3 linked regions of the Ovis aries genome follow. The protein of the gene in region 2 interacts with the protein of the main gene of each other region in a pairwise test. Links are inferred from orthologs where the notes say so. Each region holds a gene or a part of one and is shown on either strand. Other genes may lie near its edges.

What was found. The genes of interacting proteins can lie anywhere in the genome.
Region 1: the proteins of SF3B4 (region 2) and BAG3 interact in binary tests that used the Homo sapiens proteins (3 or more experiments, as listed by UniProt). The two-hybrid records come from large-scale screens. The link is inferred for Ovis aries from reciprocal best matches to the Homo sapiens genes SF3B4 and BAG3.
Region 3: the proteins of SF3B4 (region 2) and PPP1R16B interact in binary tests that used the Homo sapiens proteins (3 or more experiments, as listed by UniProt). The two-hybrid records come from large-scale screens. The link is inferred for Ovis aries from reciprocal best matches to the Homo sapiens genes SF3B4 and PPP1R16B.

The regions. Positions count from the first base shown.
Region 1 is NC_056075.1:39,301,791-39,311,821, forward strand, and holds part of BAG3 (BAG family molecular chaperone regulator 3), read left to right. Parts: intron 1-386; exon of another isoform or gene 387-459; intron 460-3,619; coding exon 3,620-3,943; intron 3,944-5,750; coding exon 5,751-6,155; intron 6,156-9,384; coding exon 9,385-10,031. UniProt on the Homo sapiens protein: Co-chaperone and adapter protein that connects different classes of molecular chaperones including heat shock proteins 70 (HSP70s), e.g. HSPA1A/HSP70 or HSPA8/HSC70, and small heat shock proteins (sHSPs), e.g. HSPB8.
Region 2 is NC_056054.1:100,029,818-100,040,433, forward strand, and holds SF3B4 (splicing factor 3B subunit 4), read right to left. Parts: upstream 6,272-10,616; 5' UTR 6,235-6,271; coding exon 6,201-6,234; intron 5,755-6,200; coding exon 5,626-5,754; intron 5,395-5,625; coding exon 4,852-5,394; intron 4,533-4,851; coding exon 4,326-4,532; intron 3,352-4,325; coding exon 3,178-3,351; intron 2,983-3,177; coding exon 2,795-2,982; 3' UTR 2,569-2,794; downstream 1-2,568. UniProt on the Homo sapiens protein: Component of the 17S U2 SnRNP complex of the spliceosome, a large ribonucleoprotein complex that removes introns from transcribed pre-mRNAs.
Region 3 is NC_056066.1:67,706,686-67,716,717, forward strand, and holds part of PPP1R16B (protein phosphatase 1 regulatory inhibitor subunit 16B), read left to right. Parts: intron 1-922; coding exon 923-1,026; intron 1,027-2,957; coding exon 2,958-3,082; intron 3,083-6,354; coding exon 6,355-6,480; intron 6,481-7,019; coding exon 7,020-7,095; intron 7,096-7,710; coding exon 7,711-7,840; intron 7,841-7,932; coding exon 7,933-8,101; intron 8,102-10,032. UniProt on the Homo sapiens protein: Regulator of protein phosphatase 1 (PP1) that acts as a positive regulator of pulmonary endothelial cell (EC) barrier function. Involved in the regulation of the PI3K/AKT signaling pathway, angiogenesis and endothelial cell proliferation.

The sequences.
Region 1 (10,031 bases), on a different chromosome or scaffold from region 2:
GCTGGCACCCCGTCCCTATCGCAGGACCTCGCAGGAGCGAAACCCCCAGGAGATGGAGGTCCCGGGCCCCAGCAAGGTCAGGGCGGGCCAGGTAGTGCGTCTTCATGACAGATGCCGGCCAGCATAACCAAGAGGCTTGGGCTTGAACTTGAGAACACTTCTTATGGGACTAAGGAGACATGTTCTAGACGTTTTCTAGGAGAATTATAAATATTTATAATAGATATTTATTATATACATTTGAATGTATAGAAAGAAAGTGAAGTCACTCAGTCATGTCCGACTCTTTGCGACCGCGTGGACTGTAGCCCACCAGACTCCTCCATCCATGGAATTTTCCAGGCAAGAGTACCTGGAGCGGGTTGCCATTTCCTTCTCCAGGGAATCTTCCTGACCCAGGGATCGAACCCAGGTCTCCTGCATTCCAGGCAGACGCTTTACCGTCTGAGCCACCAGGAAAGCCATTTGAATGTATACTTATTTTAAATACATTGTTATATAAATACTTTAATATAAATTAAACATTTTAAAGTCTTCCCCCACCCCACCCCCAGAAAAAAAGTACATCTTTTCTTTCACTAGACTCTGATGAAACACCACAGAAGGTTAAAAGGGCAGTATGGCTCTCGGGGGTCCTTCAGTTTGGTTTGTAGTCTTGAAGCATTTGTTGCTGACAGGGCTCTAACGAGAGTAGAGTGGGAACAGAGGCGGCATCAGCACCCCGTGCGGACCTTGTCACGGGCGGGCGTTTCACTCGGGTTTAAATTTTCGTTCAAGGAGAAGTGTTAGTTTTCTAGTCCATAGACGTGAGATGACCTCAAGCAGTGTTTTCTAAACAAAGCCTGCCACACACCCCCGCCGCCACCCACCAGAGTATCAGGGCGCCTGCCTTCTTTTAGACACGACAATCATGAAGAGATGCATGGGGTTTTTATGAAACGGCATAAATGAGCTGTTTGTTCACAAGGAACCGGAAGTGCAGGCCGAAGATCTATAGGAAAGCAGCCTCTGGGCCCCTCCCAGCCTCCCTTTTTTCCTGCTTGGCCCCTGACGCCCCCGACCCGGCCTACAGCGACCAGGCTTCCCTCCGCTGCCCCAAGACCCAGGCCAGGTATTGGCTGTGCTCTCACAGCCCCAGGGCAGGCGGAACTGCTCCTCTGCCTCCTCCCCTTCTTCCTTCCTTTTTCTTCCCTTTCCATTTTCAACTGAGGCACAAAATATATTCGGCGAGATGCATAAAATGTATTGGCAGGCCCGCCCTCGGACCTTCTGGATCCAGGGGCTTCCCCCAGGAGTGGCCAGGCCTCACTCAGCCAGGCCTCTCTAAGGCTTCCAGGCCCCGGAGGCTCTGAGGTGGAGGCACGGCTAACAGCAGGGTGGTGGGGGGTGGCTGCCCTCAGGGGTTCAGCCTGGGTGGACTGAGGCAGGAGATGGGCAGCGTGGGGGCTCCAGAGACGACGAGACTGTGAGAAACCGCTCTCATACATGGGTGTACACTCATTTATCTCCACCACCCAGAGAGAGAGAACTTCTCCATCTCCTCAGAGGGTCCCTTCCCAGACGACTACCATTTCCTCCAGGTGTGTCCACCTTCCTGACTCCGGTTACCACTGGTTAACTGAGTCCTTCAGATTTGATTCCTTTGATCCCTGGGCGTCTTGAGTTGAAGCATCCTGTGCCCGTTTAAGAAGGGAATGTCTTTCAGCCCCCTGGGCAAACCCCTCGCCATGGGCACTCGTAACAGCTCACTACAGACCTGTGAAGTGGGTGTTGCTAACTCCATGTTCTAGCAAAGGGGATTAAGGCTCCGAGAGGTGAAGAGACTTACCCCCAATGAAAGAATGGTTACTAACAGAGGTAAGAAAGAACGGGAGCCCTCTTTAGGAAACCCCACCCTACTAGAGAAGCCCAGGTGGGCCCCTGTGCTCTCCAGGCGGTCGTCCTGTTTGTTCCACGCGGCCCTGGCCGGCAGGGATTGAGCCTTGCTGGTTGTGAACCATCGTACCCAGTAGCTTGGGAGCAGGCTGTTCACCAGGGGCCAGCCAGCGGACGAGGGCTGCTAACCTGCCCATCTCTGCTCTAGTGCGTGGCCAGGAGGAGGCCAGCAGGGACACCGCCCCCCGCACTTGTCCAGGCTCCGCTCCAGGCTGGAGGGATGGTGCCCCAGGGCGAGGACGAGGTGCCTAGCCGGCCTGTGATGAGTCAGCACCCAGCAGCACGGGCCTCCTTCAGCGCTGCTGCTGCCTTCCTTCTGGTGCCCGTCTCGTGGCAGGAATGCGCTTCTGAATGTGACGCCTGGACCCACTCCCTGCTCTTGGATGACCCGAGAGTTAAGCAGGCTAAAATAATGCCGCCACCCTGAGCACGTGGGTATTCTAATCTGAGAGTACCGCCTGTCTGCCGATGTCCCCAAGGACACGGCAACACTCGGGCCTCTCCGAAGTGCTGGGAGGCCCACTGGGGTGGCGAGCTCAGCAGGAGGCCAGAGAGAGGTTCACAGGTCTGAAAGATCTAAGGTCCAGGGCTTGCCCTCCTTGTGACCAGCTTCGCCCCAGCGGGAATAGAGCCTCAAGCCTTCTGGTGTTTGCCATTCAGGGGGATGCCTCGTAAGGAGGCATAATAGCTTGTCCACTTGGATCCATAGAAGTGGCACGAATCCTCAGCCCCCTCCTCTGTGAAAGGACCCTCTAGTGCTCAGGAGATGGTCAGGACAGAAAGCCGCAGGGGTCCCTGGCTTCAGTTGCCCAGCCTTTGCTTGGTGAGGAGTGACATTGCCTGGTGAGTGACTGGCCAGCCTTGTTGTCTGAAACAGGATCTTTCTCTGTGGTACATCTGGAACTTGGCCTTCTCAAGGGTCCCAAAATAGCCAGGCCACTGAAGAGAGAACTTCATGAGAGGACGTAGGAGGGACCCCAGCCGCTCCTCGCCAAGCAGGCTTTGTTGGCATCACAAGACCAGCACAACTAATCCCCGGGTTTTGTTCTCATCCTGTGCTTCTTCTGCATTCCTCGGGTATCTCCCTTTCTTGCCGCTTGTTCTGAAAATATTCCTGAGGAGGCTGCCTGCCCGCCGCTGCCCCTTCTCTGCAGATTTCTGAGCTGTAGCCTGTGTCGAGGGTCCCCCGCGAGTCTGCGTTGTCAGGAAATGTGAGGACCGTTTAGGAAGCCGAGATGCCGGCTGTAATCCCCTTAGCGAGTTGGCATTGAATCCTCCTAGCATCTTCTGATCTGGGTCTCTGAAGGTTTGGGAGGCTGTCGGGGACTCCGCTGTATGCAAGGCTGCCTTGTCATCCAGAACAAAAACCTGTTACCAGCTGGGGAAACTGGGACTTCTCCTCTGCGCCACAGATAACCTTGCTCGTCTCTTTCTTTTTCTTGATGCTTCTCATTCTTAAACTGCTGGGCCAGCAGCAGCTTCAGCAAGGGAGGAGGGGTCTGGAAGAAGTAGGGGATCGGGGGAGGTACCCACAGTTTCTGTGCTCAGCTGTCCTTGCTCCTGGCTGGCACCGTGGGGCCCAGAGTCACTCTGAAAGATCAGAGCATGTGGCATTATGCTTTCTCCTCCTCAGGGCTGTTTCCTTCTCAGTTTCTAACAGGTCTGTGTCTCCTCTCACTTTTAGGAAACCGCATCCTCTGCAAATGGGCCTTCGCGGGAGGGCCCCAGGCTGCTGCCCACTAGAGAAGGTCATGCCGTGTACCCTCAGCTCCGGCCAGGCTACATTCCCATCCCCGTCCTCCATGAAGGCGCCCCGAGCCGGCCGCACCCTGTCTTTGCCTACTCCCAGCCCGGGACACAGCGCTTCCAAACCGAGGCTGCTGCAGCAGCTCCCCCGAGATCCCAGTCACCCCTGCGGGGTGTGGCGGAAGCGAGCCAGCCGGATAAACCGAGTGCACCAGTGGCAGCTGCTGCAACGGCCCAGCCTCCAGCTTCCCATGGACCCGAGGTAAGGAGAGGCCTGGCTCACAGGCCGATATGACCGTGACCTGTGTGGGCAGGGGGAGGGATGGCGGGGAGCTGGGTTTCATGCTTCCTGGGCTGCCCCAGACCACAGATGACACCAGACCCTCATGACAGCTCCGTGAAATGTGGGGTATCGGGGCCTGGCCGGCATCACACAGCAAAGATAGCTTGCTGACAGCCCCATGTCCCCCCAGCATTTCACAGGCTGGTTTTTCTGATGAGCAGAGATTGTGGTTTGTTTCTGAAGCTCAGGAACTGGGGCTCAAGAAGGGGTAAACAGCTTGGTCCAAAAGCATAAAGTCGGAAGTGGCATTGCAGGGCCTGAAAGCCTGGCCTTTTGGCTCCCCCTATGACACCCCTCATTCCCCCTGAGCTTTCTGTGTCGGAAACACAGAGAGACTCTGTGGCATTTCACTCAGTTCAGTGTTCACGGGTGAGTGTTAACTGCTCGGAGCTATGCTGACGTGAAAATGAGACCACATGCCTGCCCTCACAGTGTCCACCGTGTAAAACAAAGCATAAAATAATATTTTCAGGCTTTAAGTCTGAGGTCAGCATTTCCTTGCACTAACATTTAAAGCATAGTCCTTAACCTGGTTCTTAGCTGAGACTTGAAGGCCAGTCGACCCCAGGAGGTACACTGAGCCATAGGCCCTCTGGGTTTTCCTGTCAGCACACCATCCCGCTGTGTCCCCCGCACTGCTCTTGAGCAGAAATGCTCACTCCAGGTGAAAAACATAGTTAATGGAGGCGTCAGGTGGTGCAGTGGTAAAGAACCCGCCTGCCAGTGCAGGAGAGGCAAGAGACGTGAGTCGGATCCCTGGTTTGGGAAGTTCCTCTGGAGAAGGAAATGGCAATCCACTCCAGTATTCTTGCCTGGAAAATTATATCCACAGAGGAGCCTGGTAGGCTGCAGTCCGTGGGGTTGCAAAGAGTCGGACGTGACTGAGCACACACTCACACAGGAGGCACTTTCCCTTTCTTGGAGAGGCAGTACCTGCATTTGTAATGTTTTTGTTGTAAAAATCAAAAGTGATGCGTCAGAGAAATCTTCACAAATTTAACCTAGCAGGGGCCTTAGAAGCCAGCTGGGGAAACACTCTTCTGCTCTTCCAAAATAGAAAGTAGGCGGTCAGGAAGGGAGAGAGGCCTGGCCTGCCTCGGTCCACATGGGGACGTGGTTCCTTCCTGCTGCCCCCTGGGTTCTTTGAGGATAAGCAGGAAAAGAGTTCAGGAAAGCGGAAATGAAGTGACAACAATAACTAAAACTTAGTGAGCACTTCCTGTGGGTGGTGCTGGTGCCAGACACACCCACTAATTCTTTTATAGAACCTTCAAGTTAGTCAGGTGAGGAGGGGTTACTCTTTTCTATACTTCAAAAGCAGCTCATTAACAGTAAAGAATCTGCCTGCAATGCAGGAGACCAAGATTCAACCCCTGGGTCCAGAAGATCCCCTGGATGAGGGCATGGCAACCCACTCCAATATTCTTGCCTGGAAAATCCCATGGACAGAGAAGCCTTGTGGGCTTCAGTCCATGAGGTCGCAAAGAGTCGGATGCAACTTAGCGACTAAAACAGCAAAGCTATCGGGCTGTTGAGAATTTGAGCCCAGGCCTCTTGACTGCTGAATTCCCCATCTTACCAGTACATGTAGACACTGGAAAGGCTTAACAGGTGGGAGGTTGTGTTAAACCTGCCACCCTGAGCAGGCATGTACAGGGGGCAGAGTCAGCAAGCCAGGCCAGGGGGATTCACAGGGCCATGTGGCTGTGTGTTCTGTGTCTTGCAGCGGTCCCAGTCTCCAGCGGCCTCGGACTGCTCCTCGTCCTCCTCCTCAGCCAGCTTGCCCACCTCCTCCGGCAGGAGCAGCCTGGGTGGTCATCAGCTCCCCCGGGGCTACATTTCCATCCCTGTGATACATGAGCAGAACGTCACCCGGCCGGCAGCCCAGCCATCCTTCCACCAAGCCCAGAAGACGCACTACCCAGCTCAGCAGGGCGAGTACCAGACGCACCAGCCCGTGTACCACAAGATCCAGGGGGATGACTGGGAGCCCCGGACCACGTGGACTGCATCCCCCTTCCGGCCTCCCGTCCGGGGTGCGTCCAGCCGGGAGGGCTCTCCAGCCAGAAGCAGCACACCGGTGCCACCCCCGCCATCTGTCCGTGTGCAGACCACGGTCGACAGGCCTCAGGTATGGGAGTTGATGTCGCAGATGGGCTGGGGTGGCATCTCTCCAGGGCCGGAGGAGCTCTGTGCAGGTGTCCTGGGTCCCCTGCCCTCATCAGCCCTTCCTGGGGAGACCGAGATCCTGGAACAATGCTGGTCACCAGCAGAAATGCGGGTGAGGGCTGTGAACCTCTGGTGCCTTCTACAGCTTTTGCTCGTTCTTTGTTGCAGCTGCCTCAGGGGCAGAGTTCCAACCACCGTGATGGGGAAAGGTGGGCAGAGCACAACGTCACATATCTGGGGCCCAGGTGTCCTCTGCCCATCATGCCCTGCCACACCCCACTCCCACTCCAGCTGCAGCCTCCATCTCCTGCCTCACGGATACCCCTTCTGCACCCTGCTGGCCCTTTCATCTGTTGTCTCTTCTCTTGTTTCTTTCCTCACACTGAACCCACTTCCTGAGATGCCTCCACAATCTAAACTTTTCCCATCCTTCAGGGGACAAGCCGGTCTTGCGGCTTCCATGCAGCCTCCTCATCTTTTCCCAGGGTGCCTAGTCTCTTACAGCTCAGCATCTGATTATTCTATGCATTTCGGAAGTGTTCATCTGCTCTCTTCAGCTCTGCTCTGACCTTGACCACAGGCAGCATGTCTTACCCTTTGCAGTAAAGGACCGTGTTGCCCGGCTGATGCCCGGCTGGCTGGGTGGCTGGGAAACCTTCCCGCCTATCTGGTGAAAGTCACAGGCAGTGCCCGTTTAACCTTCGGTAGAGGCATGCACTAGCTTTCCAGGTGGCACTAGTGGTCAAGAACCCAGCTGCCAATGCAAGCGATACAAGAGATGCAGGTTTGATCCCTGGGTGAGGAAGATTCCCTGGAGGAGGGCATGGCAACCCACTCCAGTATTCTTCCCAGAGAATCTCATGGACAGAGGAGCCTGGTGGGCACAGTACATAGAGTTACAAAGAGTCGGTCATGACTGAAGCGACTTAGCACAGCACACAGCACAGAAGTGTGCAGGCACTGATCCCTGGGGGAAGCAGTCTTCTAGTTTTAGAGCCGCAGAATACCCAGCAGTCAGGGCCCCTCAGCTGCTGAGTGAATTCTTGACCACTGTTCTTAAAAGGAAAGCCCCCGTTAAACAAATGGAGGGCATCTTCTTCCTACGAATGGGGACACTGTCCAGGGCCCTCTAACAGAGTGCTTTCCTGTTGCTGGCTTTTGTTTTTGTTTTGTTTTTGTCTTTTCTATTTGGAAATGATTCCAACCTTACAGGATGGAAGTCCAGTATACATAAAGGTCATGAAAGCAAAGATTCAGCCATATTCACTGTTTACATTTTACTCCATTTGCCTTGTCATTTTTCCTCCCTCCACATATTATGTATATTTTTGTTTGAGATTTAGTTATAAATAACATGCCCCTGTACCCCTAAATATGACAGCAGATGTTTTCCTAAGAGAGCTACCTTCTCATTCATAACCACATTAGAAATATCAGATGTAGGATGGTTAACATCCTTACGACATTATTGTCTCATACACGGTTCATTTCCACATCTCCTTTAGAGCAGTTTCCCCTTTGTTCTAGGATGTAGTCTAGGATCATGAGCACTGCATGCAGGTGTCGTTTGCCTTTAGTCTCCTTTAATCTGGATCAGTTTCTCAGTCTTTTTCTGCTATCATGACCTTGAAAAGTTTTGGAAAAGTACAAGCCAGCGGGCTCACCCCCTCTTAAGTGTTTCTAAAATCACTTACTCAGCTATTGCTTTAAAGTCCAAGGAGAGGCGTGTGGCTAGTTCATGAATGCTAAGGGCCAAAGTTGAGGACTTCTGGTTGGCAGAAGAGATTTGATGGAAAAGGAGGCTAGTGGTGTTCAAATAGCCAAGCGTCCATCAGATCCTTACTTAAACTCAGTAATCCTTTCAAATGGGAAAGAAGTGCTCATTTGCAAAGCTGGCAGTGTTTCCTCTCATATCTTTCCTATATATTTTGTGTAACTGGTGAAACAATATGTAATCCTATTTCCGCTTAATCTTACTTGTTTGTAGTGGCCTACCTTTCACAGCTTGTTCAGAGATCCCATGTTGGAGGCTTGCAAAGATTTGACCTAATGAATATTATAGTGGGATTTAGTGTTTTTAATATGGAGTACTTTACAAGTGTTATCGTCTAACTCCTGTTTCCCAGTTGATGAAATCAGAGTGTGTGAGATTTTTTTAAGAGGGTTTTAGATATTCACTTGAATGTTGCAGGCATAGTTCATTTTTTAGAATACGCCTGTAGCTTATAGTCACGTTAAAGAGTATCTCACGTTAGAGTATCTCAGTCACGTTCAAGAGTATCTCAGCCTCTGTAGCCGTGTCGTCAGTGTGGAGGTGCTGCACTGTGCCAGTATCAGCTCTGGCACAAATGTGTCCAAGCAGAAGTCTTATAGGGTTACCCGTTTGGGGCATCTTGCTTATTCTCAAAAAAACACATCAGTCTGGGCAGAAACCACAAGGCTGTCATAGGTTTAAAAAAAAAAAGACGATTATAACTTTGCTGAAACAGGAGCTGGGAAGGTCACACCCTGAGCAGAGACTGTCACACAGAAGGGGTCAAGTGGCAATGATTACTCCACGGCTCCATCCCCTGATAGTCAGTCACCCAGGACTTTGCTTTGAGCTAAAGTGACTCGGGAGTCAGCATGAGTCTGGGGTATTTTCCTTTTTGAAAAATCATGTTGGTTTTCTTTTCATTGCCATAAGAATTCCATCTCCAGAAAAAGTCAGTAAGAGATAGCAGACTGAGAGCCCGGGGTAACAAACGGAAGCATGACAGTGGTTTGGGTGCATATAAGGCATGTGTGCTGGTCACGCTAAGTCTCTCGGTCATGTCTGATTCCTGGGGACCCCATGGACTGTAGCCCGCCAGGCTCCTCCGTCCATGGGATTCTCCAGGCAGGAATACTAGAGTGGGTTGCCATGCCCTCCTCCAGGGGATCTTCCTGACCCAGGGATCGAACTCACGTCTTTATCTCTTGTGCATTGGCAGATGGGTTCTTTACCACTAGCCCCACCTGGGAAGCCCCATAATACATGATGAATACCATATTTTATTGTTATAACTGGTTTCAGTTGACTTTGAAAATCTCTTTTATACTGTTAAACTTTTTAAAAGTCGTTCCCATTTCCTTCTAGTCAGTTCTAGCTACAAATGACCACCTGTGACTCAGCCGTTAAAATTGTCTGTGTCCTTGCCTCTTCCCCACAGCCCATGACCCATCGAGAACCTTCGCCTATTCCCCAACCTGAAAACAAGCCAGAAAGCAGGCCGGGCCCAATTGGACCAGATCTCCCTCCCGGACACATCCCGATCCAAGTGATCCGAAAGGAGGTGGATGCTCAACCTGTTTCGCAGAAGCCCCCACCTCCCTCTGAGAAGGTGGAAATAAAGGTTCCTTCCGCTCCTGTGCCTTGTCCTCCTAGCCCCGCCCCTCCTACCATCCCCTCTGCGGTCCCCTCTCCCCCTAAGAATGTGGCTGCAGAAGAGAGAGCAGCCCCCAGTCCTGCCCCTGCGGAAGCTGCACCCCCTAAACCAGGAGAGGCTGAAGTGCCCCCAAAGCATCCAGGTGTGCTGAAAGTGGAAGCCATCCTGGAGAAAGTGCAAGGGCTGGAGCAGGCTGTGGATAACTTTGAAGGCAAGAAGACGGACAAAAAGTACCTGATGATAGAAGAGTATCTGACCAAAGAGCTGCTGGCCCTGGATTCGGTAGACCCAGAAGGACGAGCTGATGTCCGCCAGGCCAGGAGAGATGGGGTCAGGAAGGTTCAGACCATCTTGGAAAAACTTGAACAGAAAGCAATAGATGTCCCGGGTCAAGTCCAGGTTTATGAACTCCAGCCCAGCTCCCTTGAGAC
Region 2 (10,616 bases):
TCCCAACACCTGGGGATGCTCCAGTGTTGGCCTCTGGCGTGTGGGGCCAGGATCCAGCTGCTGGCTATGCCAGGTTCCAAGCATTTCTGGGACCTCAGTTTATGACCACATATAGCAGAACTCTGCTTGAAATTAAGGTGGTCAGTTCGTCCCCTTGTGACTCAGAAGCCTGGTATCCAGTCATGCTGTGAAATACCGTGTCTAATCTTCCCCCAAGTTTTTAGTTTGGCCAATGTAAGCGCTGCATGCAGGCTCTTAGTTCCACGAGCAGGGAGGAAACCGGTACACCCTGCAGTGGAAGCACAGAATCTTAACCACTGGATCGCCAGAGAAGTCCCTCCCCCAAGCTTTTGACATATGTAATCAGACATCCACTAGATGACTCAACCTGCACACCTTCCAACACACTACAAAGTCAACATACCCAAAACTGTGCTTATCATCTTTATCCTGCTTCCCCAAGTTCTTCCTGCTGCATACTCTCATCTTTGATTCCACTCTTCCTTTCATTCATTGTATCCAATCTAATACCACGTCCTAACTTGCCTTTTAAGTATCTCCCCACTGGAGGCTTCCCAGTGGTAAAGTGGCAGAGTCCACCTGCCAATGCAGGAGAATCTGGTTCTCCTGGTTCGATGCTGGTTCGATCCCTGGGTTGGGAAGATCCCCTGGAGGAGGAAATGACAACCCACTCCAGTATTCTTGCCTGGGAAATCCCATGGTCAGAGGAACCTAGAATTCTTAAGCCAATAGTGTAAAGCCTGAAGCATCCTATCTGTGTGCTGTTTGAAATGGTTCTCTGTGCCACAATGTGAGAAGGGCTGAGAACTAATCTTTGGGCACTCCCTGACTGGTTCTGACCTCATCCTGCCTCCAGCACTGAACAGCTTTAGCTTTAGCACATTACAGACTATGCTATTTATCAGTCTTTTACTTCTGCTCAGAAGCATCCCACAGATCTGGAATGAGTTTCCCTTCATCTTAGTCTGAGAAGCTTCTAACCTTCAAGATCATTCAACTATCATTTTCCCAGAAAGTTTTCTTGGACTTTCAAGCCAGGTTGGATACCCTTCCTTCCGCTCTCAAAATATTTTGTTTCATAATAATCTCTTATATATCAGTCTACTGCCCTGGTGGCTCAGACGGTAGAGACTGCCTGCAAGGTGGGAGACCCAGGTTTGATCCCTGGATTGGGAAGATGCCCTGGAGAAGGAAATGGCAACCCACTCGTGTTCTTGCCTGGAGAATTCCATGGTCGGAGAAGCCTCGTGGGCTATGATCCATGGGGACACAGAGTCAGACACAACTGAGCGACTAACACTTTCACAACCCCCTGGTAATGATCAGACAGCAGAACTGCCCTGCTCATCTTTGTATCTTCAGTGGCCACCAGCAGAGTCCTTGTGTGTACGATATTACCTGAATGAGAACGATGCAAAAGAACAAGAGGGCCAGGCTTACCTTTTCTTGCCTGGAGTTTAAGAAAGTTCGTGGTTACATAAGCCATAAAGAGCTTTGGAGAAGAGGATGATATAACGGGATTAAATGTGGCAAAGGAAAGAATAGGCCATTGGATTTGATCTAGTTACTTAAAGTCTAAGCACAGATTTAAATATGATGGAAATCAGGTTTGGAAGGCCTGAGGAGAAAGGAAATAGGAATAAGATACAAACCCCTTACCCAAGATATTTGGCAGTATAAAGAACAAAAGAAAATGAAGGATTACTGAGTTCCTACAGTCCCATTGCAATTACTTTGCTACCATTTAAGATACATGGTTCCACAATAACATAGTATTGGACTTGAGAAATCCAGTTTCCCTCCATATTCCTTCCCTTCCCCCAGTGGGTATCAATTTCCATTAGTTTATGGTTTATCCTTCCTTTTTCTGGCCGTGTAGCATGAGGGATCTTAGCTCTCCGACCAGGGATTGGATCTGTGGCCCTTGCAGTAGAAGCAGATAACCTCTGGAGCTCCAGGGAAGCCCTATCCTTTCATTTTTAAAATAGAGACAAATGTACAACATACATTATGTGTCACCCTTTAGATAAGAAAGCACATTATGCCTTCTGTTCTACATGCTACTTTCTTCACTTAATATAGCCTCGTGATCTCTCCAATCAGTGTGTAGAGTCTCCCTCATTCCTTTTTACTGATGCTTAGTATCCTACTGTATAGATTTACCAGTTTATTCAACCAGTCCCCTACTGACTGATATGAGAGTTGTTTCCAATCTGTTATTGCAAATAGTGCTGCAATGAATAGCTTTGTGCATGTTACTTCCTATTTTTGCCATCTTATTTCTAGGAACTTTACTTCTATTCTAACTTAGTACTCACAACAACTATGCCGTAGATACTGGGTCTTCATCTTATGTATAACTTTGATGTAATGAATCAAGTGCTGCAGTACACAGCAGTCCAGCATTTGCAATAGCACATTATAGAGTAAGTCTTTAAAACTTGGAATAAACACCCTCACTCCTACCTTACCGTTCTTCTCCCAATATACGGACATCTCTTCTCAGAGAAAAAGAAGTTATTCTGTCAAGTTAAGCACCACAAACGATAAACAAGGAGTTTAGTTTAATTTTCTCTGGGTATTTGTAAAACACTTAGGGCCAACATAGGAAAAAATAAAATAAAATACAGCCTCCTGTGAAAAAATTACACTTACAAAAGAAAGGCCTGAGAGGGATTAGTGCCTTAGCCCCTCGGAGCTATAGCAACTCTGATTGGTCCAAGGAAGTGAATAGATATTGGGAGGCTACAACAGGAGGAAAAACAATGAGAAATCACTGAGGGAGAGGGCCTCGAAGTGGGCCTCGAGGGGGCACTGGAGGTCGGGGAGTAGGTCTGGGTGGAGGGAGGGGCCCCCGCTGGTAGCCGTAGGGTGGAGGTCGTGGAGGGCCAGTGTATCCATGAGGAGGCATCAGTGGAGGAGGTCCACGCATACCATGCGGAGGCATAGGACCTGGGTGACCTGCAGGTAAAAAAGGAAAACAAAGTAAAAACAAGGAATAGGAGACAGTTCATATTGGGACAATGTAAGGAGAGGATACACTGGGAGATAGTGAAAAGAAAGAGAAGAAAAGAAAGTGCAGGGGATAAGAGGTGTGACAAAACAAGCTGCAAGAACAATATGTGAGGATGAGGGAGGTGGCTAAAGACTACTCACCCATAGGAGAGCCAAACGGAGGCCCTCGGGGGGGCATGCCCATTGGAGGAGGTCCAGGATGAGGCATTCCAGGTGGTGGTCGGGGTGGTGGCTGCCCCCCAGAGCCAGGCGGCCCAGCGTGGGGGTGCCCTAAGCCATGAGGGCCATGGTGGGCCAGCTGCATCTGAGACATCCCTATGAGAACAAAACAAGACACAGTGAGAAATGAGACAAAAGGAAGTTAGAAGACAGGAGGGCAAAGAAGACAGAGAAGAAAATGAAGAAAGTGACATCAGATAGAATACAGAAATTAAAGCTGGTAAAAAGTGCCCTTATCTTTGACTCCATCCCAAGAGAATAAATCAACCAACTACCCTACAGCTCCCCAGTCCCTGAAGCCCATTTGCTCCTTCCATGATTTAGGCATTGTAACAGTGCTGCAGAATGGCGTGATTATTCTACTGAATAGAATCTGGGAAGATAACAGAGACACTGTCACAGCAAAGATCTAATTCTAAAGGATGAACAGGAATTTTTCAGGTGGACAACAGAGTGGGAAAAGAACATTCCAGGCAGAAAAAAATCAGCAGGTGCAAAGCATGGATGTGATCAACAGCACAGTATGTTAAAGGAAACCCAGTAGAACAGCTTGTAGTCATGGGAGTAACAGGCAGGAGCCAGATTATGCAAAGCCTAGAATGCTATGATAGCGAGTTTGGGTTTCACTCTGTAAGTAAAAAGGAACAACCAGAAGAATTTTGAGCAAAGGTGTGTGAATATCTGTATTTAAGAAAAATTACTCTGAGATAGTCAATCAAAGTAGAGATAATTAGAGTCAAAGTGTCAGTTAGGGTATTACTAAAATAAATTAGGTGTGAAATAATGAGGATAGGAGAGCCTGGGCTTCCCAGGTGGCGCTAGTGGTAAAGAACCAATGCAGAGAGCCTGTTGTTCTCTTTGGTAAAACTTAAACAAGAAATGAAGACAGCATGATGGTTGTTAAAATAAACGGTAAAGTATCTTGCATTTTTTTCCTAAAAGAATGTCTGAAAGAAAGGAGAGCTTGGGCACTATCTATTATTGTTAAAGGACAAAGAACAGCAGCATTAAGTGCTGACAGAGCTCCTCCATCAAGCTCATCCCTCTCCTTCCCAGCAAAGAACGCTCACCTGGATGGGGCATCCCACCAGGTGGGAATGGGTGAGGATGTGAGTGTCCGTGTCCAGGATGTCCAGCCCCTGGGGTTCCCGCTGATGGGGGACCATGTCCTCCAGCCCCAGGAGGCATAGGTGGTGGTGGCATGGCTGGGGGTATCCCAGGAGGAAGGGCTCCAGGAGGTGGTACTGGAGGTGGGAAGGAGCCAGGAGGAGGCATGCCTATAGAGAAAATGGAAAAACAGTTAATGATAGTGAGCAGAGAGTGCCTTTAGAGAGCCTGTTCCACCCTGGCCTCTCCAGGCCGAATGAGCTCTTTTCCCCTCCTCCCAGCTCTCTGAAGTCAGCGGCAACATTAAGTGACTTGAACAACAACCTTCTGGAGAAAACTCAACAACTTTCTTCCCACCACAATCATCATCCCTCAACCCCTTTCTCATCACCTAATGACTCAATGTCCTCTCCTTGCCAGGTTATTTTTCCTTCTTCCTGGCCCCACCCTTCCCAACCCAACACAAACATTTTTTATCAAAAGCTTTACCTGGTGGAGGAAGCCCAGATCCCAATGATGATACCACAGGATTGGGAGCAGATGGTGGAGGGGGTGCATCTGCAAATAGCTGATGAGGGCGGTCAGCCTGGGAGAGTGGGTTCTGTGCTGCCAGAAGTCTTTCAGCGGCTGAGCCATGGCGCTCACCCTTGGAGTCCTTCTTGAATGCGTAGGACACAGTGATTGGGCGGTTACAGAGGTACTGCCCATTCATGGCCTCAATCGCTGCATCCGAAGCATCAAATGAAGCAAAATTAATAAAGGCATAACCTTTGGAGTTGCCTGTGTCAGGGTCCCGCATAATCTTGGGGGTTTGTAAGATGACCCCAAAGGCGCTAAAAGTATCATAAAGCAACTTCTCATCAATCTCCGGGTCCAGGTTCCCAATAAAAATGTTGGCCCCCACATCCAGGTTTTTGTTGTGAGCTGATGCCTTGTTCACCCGTATTGGCTTCCCATAGAGTTTGATCATGTTCATGATCTTAATGGCATAGTCAGCATCTTCCTCACTCAAGAATTCCACAAAGCCATAGCCTGGGGAAGTGGAAAAGAAGAGGTTAGCAACTGAAGTGATTTAAAAACGAGTTTATAACTCATTTGTCTTCTAAAGCACAAAGGATAAGAAATAATAATCCCAACTTCAATTGAGAATGGTTCCAGAAACAAAATCTTTAGTTTGCTCACTCCAAAACTTAATATCACTGGAGACCTCCAGGAGCAGTCTGTCCCTTTCATAGATAACTGTACTTTTTGCCGTGTACTCACCTTGGTGCTGACCAGTGACTCTATCCTTTGGCATGTGCGTGTTCACTACTGGTCCTGCCTGGAGAAATAGTTCCCACAGCAGTGGTTCGCTAACCTTCTCATCGAGGCCCCCCACGTACACAGTGGCATCTGGAAGACAGGATTAAGAGGTAAGGACAGAGATGAGGGGAAATAGGGAGGTAACGGGAACATGAAGATGGAACCCAGGCGGAGGAAGTGGACGTGGAGATGGGGTAGAAAAGCGAAAAAACAAAAAGATGTTAGATTAAGCTTTTAGAAGCTCCTCCTTTCCAGAAAATAGACAATCTTATGTCTAATTTAGAGTGACGGTGCAAGTTCACTCTGTAACTTTTCTTTTTCTTTTTTTTTTTTTTGAGTGGGAAGGCAGCAGAGGACTGGACACAGCATCACAACTATAGGCCTCAAGTCTGTCCATCCCGTCCCCATAAGGCATCGGGACCAGTCTGGCGCCCTTCGGAAAGGCAAAATCTCCCGCCCCAGCGGAAACATTGCTGGGCCTAGTCGAGGTCCCTCAAACCCCCAGAGTCCATTCTGGGTCTGTCCCCTCCAGTCACCCTGGTTTCGCTCGGAGATCGGCCCGGCAGCCATGGCGAAAGCGCTCCCGCCGTCTCCAGGCAGCGATCCCGCCCCCTGACCTCAGTCACTACTTCCGCTTCCGAGGCGAAGGCTGACGTGAGGTGGTGGGCGGGGCCGCGGCAGGGGAGGAGCCGGAAGCGGCCTCGGCCATCTTAGGAGACGCTGAGACTGGAAGCGGCTGAAGTAGCGGTGCGCTTCGGTCCACGCTCCCGTGCAGAAGTGCTACTATGAGCGGACGCGGCGGGGAAAGTGAAAAGGAAACGTTCTGTCTCTTTTAAGGCAGTGCTAGAAGTTAAAGGGTCACACTGCTCCCGAAACTGTCACTTCAGAAGCTGGGAGAACAAAACTTTAGTTTTCATGTGTTTTGTAGCCTTTTTTTCCCCCTTAGAAGGGTGTACAGAGGAACCGCTCAACGCAAGGCGTGGGGAGAACCGTCCATCCCAACCCGCAGTCCTTGAACAGACGCGGCCTCACAGCCCAGGCCTGAGCTTGAGGTATTTCCTTTTTCCTCAGGGAAGGAATTGTGGAATGTCTGAGCTCGCCTAGTCACTGCATAGGAGGGGAACCTGAGGTTCGGAGGTGGGGTGGTACCGAAGTTTACGGGGGTTTGATACTGAAGCCCAGAGGCCGAGGCCGAGGCCGAGGCCGAGGCCTTCAGAGCACACCCTGAACTCCAGCAACCTCTGGGCGTGCCTTTGCCCTGTCTACACGGAAGAGAGGACCTTAAATTGTGAATCCTGCAGCGCCTCACGCAGCCCAGCCCCTTACTTCCTTAGCAGTAATATGGTCGGTACCGTCCCTTCGTGGGTCACATTCCTTTCCCTCCTCTCCCACCACTCCCTTACCTAAGGTTCCTTTAATCAGACACAAACAATGCCAGCGGCGTGTATAAATATTGTGCTTTAATGAACTCCTTAAATAGAAATGTCACAATGAAAATATATAATTGGAAGAGATAGGGTGTCCTGTGTATATTCCATACCCATAGAAAACTATAAGGGAAGAAATAGAAATTGGAATTAAGCAGCAAGAGGAGGTGAGAAGGAGGTCTGTAGGCCATCTTGTTGGCACTGATAAACAGTATATCTGATTATCACAATTTACCAGCGCAATATCCAAAATTTCCATCCCAAAGACATGGAATTGCCCTGAAAAAGAGAGGCAGTCTTCTGGATTGTTGTTGTTTCTTAATTCTTCAAATGATAAGAACTGTTTAAACCAAACAAGGCAGGATAAGAGTTGGATAAGGTTAGCACCACTCATCCTCAATAGAAACTCAGGTCAGTGATCTTGTTTATGAAAGCTGAGGCAGCAAGACCAGATAAGAAAAACCGAAGGATTAGACAAAACTCTCCCTCACCCCAGACCACCCTCTGCCCTGCCCATGAGAAAGCCAGCAATTTCAACGGGATTGGGAGAGAATGGTATTTGGGTTTCTTTTCTTGGAGTGATCCTCGGGAGATATTCGTGGTGTCCATTTCCTTAATAACTCTTGAAGATGGGATAGCTCCTCCTGGAGACCAGAGATTGTGGGAGCTGAGAGGCCCATCTGGGAAGAGGGTGAAGAGAGGCAGAGAGGATCCTTAATTCTCTTAGTTCCCTTTCCTCCTCCAGCTATCCCCTAGGTTCCACTTGATATAAGCCAGAAGCAGTTTTCCCACACTCCCAAATCTATCCGCTTTGATACCAATAGGAATGGTATCTAACTTCCCAGTCCCCCAAACCCTTGCCCTTCTGCTCCTGGAAACATCTGGTTTCTCCTAGAACATCTGGTTCAAAAGTCAGACCCCTTCTCCCACTCCCAATTTTTGCCTTCCCTTCTCACCTGGACCTCAGGCCTTCCCCTCAGGTAGCAGCGTCTCCAGAGCCTGATCTGGGGTCCCAGACATCCAGGCAGCAGCAGTCCCGGGGGTAAAGGGCAAGCTCCCCAGTGTGAGGGGAGCCCCCACTCCTGATCAGCCAGGCTTTCAGAAGAGATAGCAGGTCGAGGGAGCCAACGAGAGGAGACTGCCAGCAGGGAGGGACTGTCCCGCCAAGGACAGAGTTGATTCAGGGGTGTCAGGGCCCCTCTAGAGAAGAGCCACACGGAACTGGGGGGCCCAGGAACCATGAAGCTTGGCTAAGGAGGAACAGGAAATCAACTGGCAACTTAGAAACCTGATGACCCCCAGTTTCCCCAAACTGGGTCATGAAGGAATGTCCAGCTGTCACCCACTGCACACTGTACCAGTTATCAAACTACAAGCCTTCCCCTGAGAACACTTTATCTGCTCTCCTTATTAGACTTCAAACTAGGCCTCAGGACTGATTAAAGTTGATTTTAAGGAAACATAAAAATGTGTGCATGAGACAAGAAGACTAATAAGGATGAGGAGGACCAAAAAAGATGCCATTTGTGATTTGTAGGATTTCTGTCTTCCTGGGGACAGTTAGGACTATAAATGACACCAGAGGGGGAATGAGGAACTCAGACACTATCACCTCTCCTCATCTAGTAGGATGAGCCTGTGAAAAAAATCAAAGGAATTTAGGAACTTCAGACACTTTACCTGCTGTCTAGGGAGCCAGGAATCTGGGCAGTGTTCTGGGTTATAGCCAGGATTACAGAATTGTAGTATTTGTTTATTGCTGTAGCGTAAATTCCAGTCCCAGACAGATAGTTGTGGGTTAATAGAGTTCCCAGCCCCTGGGAACCCAGGGGTATAGACTTGTGTATAGTTGTTGAACTAGACAGAGGAAACAAGAAGAGGAAGGTTAAACAAAAATATATAATCCTCCCCAGTTTAGAGATAAATCGTGAAACTCATCTTATTCTAAGAATCAGATGTAAGGCTTCCCTGGTGGCTCAGTGGTAAAGAATCCACCTGCCAGTGCAAGAGGCACAGGTTCAATCCCTGGTCCAGGAAGATCTTATCTACCTTGAAGCAACTAAGCCTGAGCACCATGACTGTTGAGCCTGTGATCTAGAGCTTGGGAGTCACAACTACTGTGAGCCCACATGCCACAACTACTGAAGCCTGCACACCCTAGAGCCCATTCACAACAAAAGAAGCCACCACAATGAGAACTCCATGCACCACAACTGGAGAATTTGCTGCAACTAATGTGAGAGTTGGACTGTGAAGAAAGCTGAGCACCGAAGAATTGATGCTTTTGAACTGTGGTGTTGGAGAAGACTCTTGAGAGTCCCTTGGACTGCAAGGAGATCCAACCAGTCCATTCTGAAGGAGATCAGCCCCGGGATTTCTTTGGAGGGAATGATGCTGAAGCTGAAACTCCAGTACTTTGGCCACCTCATGCGAAGAGTTGACTCATTGGAAAAGACTCTGATGCTGGGAGGGATTGGGGGCAGGAGGAGAAGGGGACGACAGAGGATGACATGGCTGGATGGCATCACTGACTCGATGGGCGTGAGTCTGAGTGAACTGCGGGAGTTGGTGATGGACAGGAAGGCCTGGCGTGCTGCGATTCATGGGGTCGCAAAGAGTCGGACATTATTGAGCGACTGAACTGAACTGAAAGAAGAGCCCACTCAGCAATGAGGACCCAGCACAGCCACACACAAAGAAAAGAATCAGATGTAGGGTGAAAGTCCAGTCCTGAAAGAAAGCGCCAACCTCCTCCCCCTTTCCCACCCGCAGACCACTTTTCATATTCAAGGGTAAACTTCAGAGAGTAGTTCTTTTGTTGACTAAACTGCTTGTGGGATCCTAGTTCCCCCGACCAGTAATTGAACCTGGGCCATGGCAGTGAATGCCCAGAATCCTCACCACTAGCCCACCAGGAAACTCCCAGAGAGTACTTAATGGGTAGGGGAAAGCCAAAAATGGAAGTCACTGACCTGTCCACTCTGCTTTCCACGCTCCCAGGGGGTGTCTCTCAAGAATGTAAGGGTGTCAGGAACTCTGACACTGTCATGAAGAGCAAGAAGGAAGAACTCAGAAAATTCAAACTCAGCTGGAAACTGCTGGAGGAGCTGCCAGACGCAGTCAAGGAAGAGGAGAAACACTGGGGCCTGAGAAGAGGGAAATTAAGAGGTTGGAAGGGTGTGTGGGGACTTAAATGGAGAGGATGAATGACGTGGGAATGGGGACACTAAGGAGGTCAGGGGGTGGAAATCAGTTGAGGTAGGGGGTTGGGGTCCCTCATCTGGATCTCCTTTCAAGCTCAGCCCAACCTCAGACCTAATTTGGACCTAATTCACCTCCAGTGGATTTTAGTATGTCATTTTCTCATCCCTCTACTTCTTAATAACATCCTCCCCAAACATTCTCACCTCTTCACTGGCCCCAGATCCCCCAAGTCGGGTCAGGAAAGGATGTCCAGCTGCCACCCACTCTCGTTGCACTAATGATTGGAAGCCAAGCAGTGTTCGGGCTTCAGGGGCTGAAAGC
Region 3 (10,032 bases), on a different chromosome or scaffold from region 2:
CTGATGAACACCTGGGTGTGGCTAAGTCTGCAGGGGCATCAGATGGCCACCATCCAATCAGAGGTGATGCGAGAGGAAAAGGGAGAGGATACCAACATTGTACCAATCCCTAGCGCCAATCTGTACCAGAATCATGGGTTTAAAATGTGTAATCCTCAACCCTGCCCCATCCTCTTGAGAGACTCTGTTTCAGGAGGTCTAGAGTGAAGCCCAGGAAGCTGCATTTTATTTCAGTGGCGTCTGAGTGATTCTGCCACAGGGCAGCCCAGGACCATGCATTTGGGAGCCACTGGCCCCAAAGGGGAATTTTCCCACGGGGTCCCAAGGCTCTCTCCTGCCCCATCCTGGTTTGCCTTTGGAGAAGGGACTTCAGAGGAGGAATTGGGGGTATCCTTGGGTGTTTCTGCACTTGGTCTAATATTGAAATAGGACAGGGAAAAGTAAAAAGAGCTGGCCCATGAAAAAGCCTGGTTTCCATCTTGAACCTCTCACATCCTAGCTGTGTGACCTCAGACAAGTAACTGACCCTGTCTGAATCTTGTTTTCCCTTGAGTGAGATGGGGCCAATAATACTGAACCAAGAAAACTATTATGAGGATTATATCAGATGATGTAAAGGGCTTAGATCAAGCCTGGCTCTTAGCAAATGCTTGGGAAGTGGTGCTACCACCATTAATTTTGTCTTTTCTTATTTGACATCTATCCTCAAGTGCCCACCTGCTGGTTCAACAGAGGAGGAAGCTGGGGAAAGTGGCACAGCTCTCCTGAGATCCTGGAGATGCAGTCCTTGCTGGGCTGCACCGTGGCTGGGTTGTGGGTGTTGGGATGCACAGCGGGGTGTGGGTTGAGAGGCTGGACAGTAGAGGCAGTCAGACCAACCCTCTGCACGTTCCTGGCCCTCACCCTGGTCCTCTCTCTGCAGTGGAGCCGACTTGCTCGCTGTCAACTCCGATGGGAACATGCCCTATGACCTCTGTGAGGATGAGCCCACCCTGGATGTCATCGAGACGTGCATGGCGTACCAGGGTAAGGGCAGGGCCGCCGGCTGTGCAGTGGGCTGGGTGTGGGGCTGTGGCGAGCATCTCTCAGATCAGTGCAGATGAACAAGTTACCTAGAGGCAGGCCTATCGCTTAGTGCTCAGGACCTGGGACGGGACCCCACGAAGGTTGTTACCCACGTGATGGACAAGATGCGAACACAGAACAAGCCTGGAAAATGAGCTGTGCACAAGGAGGGGCGTGGCTGTCTTCTGTGTCACCCACACGCATGGGCAGCCTCAGCTGGCCCCGTCTCTTCAGCAGCTGTGACAGTTCAATTCAAAACATCCACAATAAATATATATTCCCATTTGGGAAAATACAAAGTCAAGAACATTCACGGCTGCCTGCTCTGTGCCAGGCACCACTTGGGCTGCCAGGGACCCCGGATAAACAAGATGTGGGCTGTTCTCAGCTCACAAATGAGCTTCAGAGAGGAAACAAATGCAGCCCGCCCCCGCCACCCCAGTACATGCTCCTGAAAGGCCTCCTCTTTAGAAATATATCTCAAATCCAGACCCTGGACTGCAGTCTGAGGTCCTCCCCTCATCTCTGCCCTTGTGTTTCTGCCCAGATGGCTGCAGGAACCTCCCTTTTGGCCTGCCCATTCCCTGGCCCTGGAGCTTTCTCTGTCCACTTTCTGTAGACCTTCCTAATAATTTTTGTGCCAGTCTGGTGAATCTGTGGACCCACCCCTTCTGTATTTTTAAATGCATTTATCAAAGCCATAGGATTATAAAGGAAACCACTGCTATTGAAGTAGGGCTCCTCAAATACTTTTAAATGTATAGTATAGAAACTTCATTGATTCCTGAAACAATAAAATAACATGGTGTGAAAATACCTATAGTTTCTGTTGGTGACAAAGTCATGGGCACTGCCAATTCTACTATGAATTTAGACTAAAAGGAAATGCTATATCTCATTGAAAAGTTAGTGAAAGTAAGACTTCTCTGGTGGTCCAGTGTATAAGAATCTAAGAATGCACTGGCAGGCAGGGGACGTGGATTTGATCCCTGGTCCAGGAGGATTCCACATGCCTCTGAACAACTAAGCCCGTGTGCACCAGAGCCCCTGCTCCCCAACACAAGAAGTCATCACATTGAGAAGTTTAGACACCAAAACTAGAGGGTAGATCCCACTCGCCACAACTAGAGAAAGCCCACACCCAGCAACAAAGACACAGCACAGCCAAAAAGAAACAAACAAATAAAAAATTAGTGAAAATAGATCATTCTTTTTCTCCCTTCAAGTTTACAGACCTCCCCTGAGTTCTATCCAAGAATGCTTGCTCTCATTGACCTTTTTTTCAGAGCAAATCACTCTCTCCTTAGTAGCTGCCAGTAACACTTAAATTTTAGCTAGAGATTCAGGCTTGAAAATGTGTTTCTGAGTCCCTCCACCTCGATTTATTCAGCTCTCCATTCAGAAGTGATATATTCAGTAATTCAGTTGTGGCTGTAATAGCGATTCACTGAGCGTGCCTGGTGCTGCAAACACAGCTGTGGATGAAGTGGAAGAAATGAACAGAGACCTGGTCAGATACAGTGGGCAGGGGAGGCCAGCTGAGGAGGTGATCCAGGCTGGACCTAAAGGATGAGACGGAGCCAGGAATTTGAGCAGCTGGAGGTGGGTAGGTGGGTGGTCGGGACTGCCAGGTAGAAGAGCTGTGTAACAGTCATTGATATTAATACAGCGCCAACTGGGTTCCAGGCTCTTGTTCGTGGCCCAATATGTGGTGTTCATTTTCACTGGGCCTGGGAGAAATGATCTCTGAGCGCATCTGTTTACTGCCTTGACTGGCAGACCCTAGGAAAGAGGAGTCATACCTCCCTACCTCTGCCCTCCCTCCCCTCCCCCATGGGTTCTCTGCCTGGGAGTGCTGACTCAGTGCCACCCCCCCCCCGCCCCCACTGCAGGCATCACCCAGGAGAAAATCAACGAGATGCGGGCAGCTCCTGAGCAGCAGATGATTTCGGACATTCACTGTATGATCGCAGCTGGCCAGGACCTTGACTGGGTAGATGCCCAGGGGGCCACACTGGTGAGGAGAGGGGCCAGGCTATATTGGACTGGGGGGTTAGGACCAGAACTCAGACCAGCTGGAGCTGAATGGGGAGGTCCAGTCTACACAGAGGGGGCCTGTCTGTAGCCTTGGACTTCCTCCCCCTTTTGGGGACAGGGTTCTCTCTGGAATGTGGAGTTAGCAGAGCAGGGATCAGCTTCTTTGAGAAGCTGGGGCTGGGAGTTGGGAGCTGTGGGTTGGGGAGGCTTGGCTCTGCCATTCACCTCTTTGTCTCCAAGCTTCTCCTTTACCTCACGTTGCAGGTGTCCATTCTGAGTTCATTATTTCCACCTCCTCCCATGATGTCTCCTGCTTCAAGATGAGTGCCACATTCATCCACTCATCCAGGCCATCTTGCTTTGCACTATTCATTCTCCTACCTCAATGTACCCTCTCCCACCTCAGTGCCTTGTTTCATTGTCTGTCCCTGATGTTGCTGCAACAGCCTCTCTTCTGGTTCCCTGACGTCAGAGCCCAGACACCCCAGGGACCCATCCTGTGGTTCACACATCCATCCATTGGTCCTCCCATCCATCCATTGGTCCACCCATCCATCCATCAGTTTACCCATCCATCCATCGGTTCACCCATCCATCCGTTCACCCATCCATCCATCGGTCCACCCATCCATCCATTGGTTCACCCATCCATCCATTGGTTCACCCATCCATCCATTGGTCCACCTATCCATTCTTTGGTTCACCCATCCATCCATTGTTTCAACCATCCATCCATCGTTTCACCCATCCATCCATCGGTTCACCCATCCATCCATCGGTCCACCCATCCATCCATCGGTTCACCCATCCATCCATCGGTCCACCCATCCATCCAGCGGTCCACCCATCCATCCATCGGTTCACCCATCCATCCATTGGTTCACCCATCCATTCTTTGGTTCACCCATCCATCCATTGGTTCGCCCATCCATCCATTGGTCCGCCCATCCATTCATTGGTCCACCCATCCATCCATTGGTTCACCCATCCACCCTGTCAACATACACATCCTCTGTCCCACATACTTTACTAGACATTAGAGATAGAGAATGATGGAATCTTCTCTCTCTCTATCTGCCTCATTAGCTTCACTCACTGTTTCAATTCAAATGTCAGTGAAACCTTCTTGATCTTTCTTCATAGGCCTTCATAGCATGATACAGCTCAGTATTGGGGAAGTCTGCTTCTGCAGCCTCTAAACTGAGAACTAGAACATGGCCTTGGAAGCCCCCCTCAACCTTGCCCATGGCTGGGCCCATCCTGTTCTAGGCTTGGGGTCCATGTGATTGTGAGCACTCAGGGTCTCAGAATCTTCAGCTTTTCAGGTAGGGCTCAGCAGTACCAAGTTCCCTCACTGCCCCTCAGGCCTGACCTGGTAGCCCAGATGTGATCATTGGACTTCTCCCATCCCGTTCCTGAGTCCCACCCTCTGTCTCATCCCCCTTTCTTTTTTTTTAAAATAAGACTTCTAAAATTGATTATTGGTTTATTTCAGTGACATATAGTTGCTTTATAATATACTAGTTTCAGGTATATGACACAGTGATTCAATATTTTTTATAGATTATACTCCATTAAAAATTATTACAAGATAATGGCTATATTTTCTTGTGCTGTACAACATACTTTGCTTATTTGTTTTAGTAGTTTGTGCCTCTCAGTCCTCTACCCCCATCTTTCCCCTCCCCCTTCCCTCTCTCTGTTAGTGAGTCTGTTTCTGTTTTGTTACATACATTCGTTTGTTTTTTAAATTCACATGTAAGTGATAACACAGAGCATTTGTCTTTGTCTTCTTTCATGAAACATAAGGCCCTCTTGGTCCACATGTGTTGCTGCAAATGCCATTATGTCATCCTTTTATATGGCTGAGTAGTATTCCATTGCCTGTATATACCATACCTTCTTTATCCATTCATCTGTTGACAGACACTCAGGTTGCTTCCATATCTTGACAATTGTAAATGATGCTGCTATGAACACTGGGGTGCCTGTATCTTTTTGAATTAGTGTTTTCATTTTCTTTGGATATATATCCAGCAGTGGAAGTAGTTCTCTTTTTTAGGTTTTTGTGCCTCCTGCTCTTTTCTAAGGAAGGGGTCCCTGCTCAGCCCAGCACTCAAGAGTTGAGTCAGGTAGTTGGATTGAACGCTGCATGAAGACTGGACGAAGTTTTGGCCAGGCTGTGCCAGGACACTGCCCGCCCTGGATGGGGCTCCGTTGGGTCTGTGGCTCAGCCCTGTAGACACAGGGGTCTGCTCCTCTTGGGCTGGCCTCAGAGCGGCTTCACTCACATGGCTGGGCACACACTAGGTCTCAGTTCTTCCCAGTGAAGCAGGGAGGCGTACCTTCCCCAGGGGGCTGTTGGGAGGACTAAATGAGATTCTGCATGTAGCTGCTCAGCACAGAGCCTGTAAACTCTCAATAGATTCTGGTGATTAACTCATTATTATTATTAACATGATCACTTCTATTTATATAATAAATAGCAAGGTCCTACTGTGTAGCACAGAGAACTATATTCAATGTAATTATAGTTGTAATCCTCTGTAATGGGAAAGGAAATCTGGGAAAAAATATATGCAGGTGAATAACTGAATTGCTTTGCTATATACCTGAAACATTGTAAATCAACTATACTTTAGTAAAACAAAAAATCAAAAAACCCACCAATATCACTCTCCCAGTCATAACTTTTTATTCCCAGCTATGTATGTGGCCCTACAGTTTTTAATGTCTGGCTGGCTGTGTGTCATTCTTAATAGCTGGCAAGCATCAAACATTTATAAATCAGATAGTGATACCAGTTTTCATGTGTGCCTGTTCCAGATCATACCCTGTTTTTTTTTTTTCTTTCTGAAAATTAAAAAAAAGAAAAAAACCCAAAACCTCTGTTTGCCAGAAACTTATAGCAACCTGACCCCCGGATGACGCGGCATCTGGCCATTAGGGCTGTGTTCTGTTGGACCTCTGAGACCCCATCTACAGGGCTCAGTGCATAGTAAGCACTCAGTAAATGCTGATGCCTTAACGACAGGGGCTTGAAGACGGAAGAGAAGCCCCTTCTCCCTTACCTTCCTTTTCCATACTGCAGACTTACTAATGCTCTGTCACGTGGCTGGTATCTTCACCTCCTTCTATTCCATTCTACGGCCCTAAATATGATCTGGGCCTTGAGCCGGGGAATGGGCTCTCCTGCTTCCAAATGAGGGACCAGCCCCCGTGGGGAGTGCTGACCCCTTTCCTCTCCTTCAGCTGCACATAGCTGGAGCCAACGGATACCTGCGGGCAGCCGAGCTCCTCCTGGACCATGGTGTACGCGTGGATGTGAAGGACTGGGATGGCTGGGAGCCCCTGCATGCGGCTGCCTTCTGGGGACAGGTAGTTGTCACCCACAGTGCTGTAAGAGAGGCCAGCTTATGGCCAACCTGCTGACCTTTGGGCTGGGAGTTGGTTCAGAACACCCGACCCATTTAGGGTGTTGACTACAGCTAGCGTGTAGGATGTGAAAAGACCTACGGAGTTTACAAAAAGGATTGTCAAGTTGTGTCCTAACAAGATGACAATCCAATTTGCCAAATTAGAAAATTTCCCACATTTCTGTCTTGAGTTTTTCCACTTGTTTCCCAGATAGAAATCTCTGTAGCTTTCGCCATTCCTCTTTAAACACTTGACAGCTCTGGAGTTATAGCTGACTCCTTCTGTCCCTCGGTATGGCTGAGTCATGCTGGAGGAGGTGTCAAGCCTATTGCATTTGCCGGAGTTCCCGGCTTTAGGGAGCAGAGCCTTCCCTGGGAGTCAGCTTTGCCCTACCATTCTTTGGATCACATCCTAAGAAGCTTTGAACTCTCACTCTCTCCGACTCCTAGGCTTTCTCAGCTGTGGGCAGGGGGGAACCCGGGCTTCTTCCTGTGTTTCAGATGCAGATGGCAGAGCTGTTGGTGTCCCATGGGGCCAGTCTCAGTGCTAGGACATCCATGGATGAGATGCCAATTGGTAAGTTCAGAAGGACCACGCCTGCACTCATTGATTTTTTTGATGAGTGGAGGATAAATGGTTGAATATATGGTTGGATAGATGGTAGATGGATAGTTTGATGAATAAATTAATGGGTGGTAGATTAATGGATGGATAACTGGGTAAATGTATGGATGAATGAATTAAGAGGATGGGTGGGCAGAGGATGAATCTATGGATGACTGGTTCAGCGAATAGGTAGACAGATGAACTAAAGGATGAGAGGGACTGAGTGGGTGGGGATATATGATTTCAGGCTCTTTTCATAATGTCTTGCTTGGGCTCTGTGGGGTACCTTCTGGTTTCTCTTGATATATTTTCTATCAGTGGAGAATTGATGACTCCTCTTGGAAGCGATCAAAGGTGTATGAATCCTTCAGTCATATCTGTGAATTGGGACTGTGCATGGGACCTGGGGTTTCCTCTTCTTACACTCCTCTAAGGATTGGGTTGTAGCCCAGGAAATAAGGCTGGCACTGCTTTCTTCCCTCCAACCACACCCCAGAAGATGTGAATTTTCAGTGGGTCTGGGGGGCCCTCGGGGATCACCAGCCCCTTCTCTGCCCCCTACCATGGACTCCTCCACCCTTTCAGACCTGTGTGAAGAGGAGGAGTTCAAAGTCCTGCTGTTGGAGCTGAAACACAAGCATGATGTGATCATGAAGTCGCAGCTGAGGCATAAATCATCTTTGAGCAGGAGGACGTCCAGCGCGGGCAGCCGAGGGTGAGCTGGGGGCGGGACAGCCAGGGGCGCCCAAGGATGCTCCTGCCCATGGAGCCTGGAAGCAGCCTCCCAGTACCCCCCTCTCCCCTTAGGAAGGTGGTACGTCGAGCCAGCCTGTCCGACAGGACCAACCTGTACAGGAAGGAGTATGAGGGAGAGGCTATACTCTGGCAGCAGCGGAGTGCATCCGAGGATCAGCGGAACTCCACCTACAACGGGGACATCAGGGAGACCAGGACAGACCAAGAGAATAAGGACCCGGTGAGAGCTTGCCTCCCACCCAGCCCCAGTGAGCACTGCCGTGGGAGGGGAACGGCTGGAACCCCAGCCTGGCGTTGCTTCTTTATTTCAGAGCCTTCGGAGGGAGGTCAGCTGGCCATCGCCCTTAAACCAGCTGGGTCCTGTCTGAGGGGGTGCCTACCATGGTTATTGAGGCAAGTGTAGGACGTGTTCACGTCAGAGCTGGGTGATTGGCACACAGTAGGGGCTCATAACTGCCAGGGAGTGAGTGATCACCATGTGCCTGCTTGAGCTCCAGCAGAAGAGAGATTTTATTCTGGCTTCCCAGAGGAAAAGGTTCAGTAGGGCGGCCACTCTGGGAGAGAAGGGTGTTAAAACTTTTTTAGGGGAAACCTAACAAGATGTTGAGAATTGTGTTGAGATATCGGGTTGGAAGAAAATTTTTGAAAAATATAGGGGCTGGCTATAGAACGTCTAAGAAGCTGGCTCTAGGAGTAGATAATGATCTGGGCATTAAACCGCTTTCCTAAGATGCTGTATTGTTTTCTGAGAACTGTTGTAATGAATTACCGCAAACTAGGTGGCTTGAAGCGAGAGAAATGTCTTTTCTCCCAGTTCTGGAAACCAGAAGTCTAAAACTCAAGTTGTCTACAGGCTTGGTTCCTTCTGGATATCGGAAGGGGCCTCTGTTCCATGCCTGTCTCCTAGCTTCTGACATCTTGGGCATTCCTTGGCTTTTTGCTATCGTGCCTCCAATCTCTGCCTCTGTCTCCATGTGGCCTTCATTGTGTACGGGTCTGTCTCTATTTTCTCTTAGAAAGACACCAGTCATTGGATTAGGGCCCACCCTCGTCCAGTGTGACCTCATCTTAATGTAACTGATTACACGTGTGAAGACTCTACTTCCAAATAGGGTCACACTCAGAGATGTGGGGTGGATGTGAGTTTCGGGGGGACACTATTTGACTCAGTACAGATGCATTCAGGCCCGTGCCTGGCTGCAGTCTTGCTGAGTAGAATATGCAAGTTTGGGGCCAGAGCAGAACTACTGGGCACAAGAAGGAAGGGGCTGACCATACCAGCAGTGGTGTACCTTTGTGGTTCTACCATCACACAAAGAGCAGCTGAAAACATTTCTAGTTCCTGTTGCTTGGGGGGATGCAAAATGTCTCAGTGGGACCCTGCTTCCCTGTGTGAACAAGGAGGTCATGTGAGGGCTTGTCTTGCCGGCAGGAGTGAAGGCATCTGCTCTAAAGAATCTCCATTGTGAGAGGAGTTTGGAGGAGAATAGATCCATGTATATGTCTAGCTGAGTTCCTTTGCCGCCCACCTGAAACTGTCACAATATTGTTAATCAACTATACTCCAATATAAAATAAAAAGAGTAAAAACAAAAAGAGGGACTTACCTGGTGGTCCAAGGGCTAAGACTCCTTGCTCCCAGTGCAAGGGACCTGGGTTTGATCCCTGATCAGGGGATAAACCACAGCTAAAGACCCAGCGCAGCCAAATAAATGTTAAAAAGAAAAAAGATTCGATGCCAAGTGGTTTTTTTTAAAAGAGAGAATCCCCACTGAAACGCCGATTGGGATGGAGCCCGCACACTCGGAGCTTTTGTTCTGCCCCTGCCCACCTAAGCTTGGGGGTTAGGAAAGAAGAGCTGTAGATTGGAATCAAATCCCATTTCAGATGCTTCCCCGATATGCTTTAATTCTCTTTTCTTTGTGATTGAGGTGTAGCTTCTATAACCTACAGAAATCTTAAACGAATTTGTCAATGACCTCTTTCCAATGAGTACACGCATTTCTGTCACCCCAGAAAGCTCCTACGTTCCCTTTTCCAGGCAGCCCTTCTACCCCACAGATATGAGTGTGTGCTTAGTCACTTCAGTCGTGTTCAACTCTTTGGGACCCCATGGACTGTACAGCTCTCCAGGCTCCTCTGTCCGTGGGG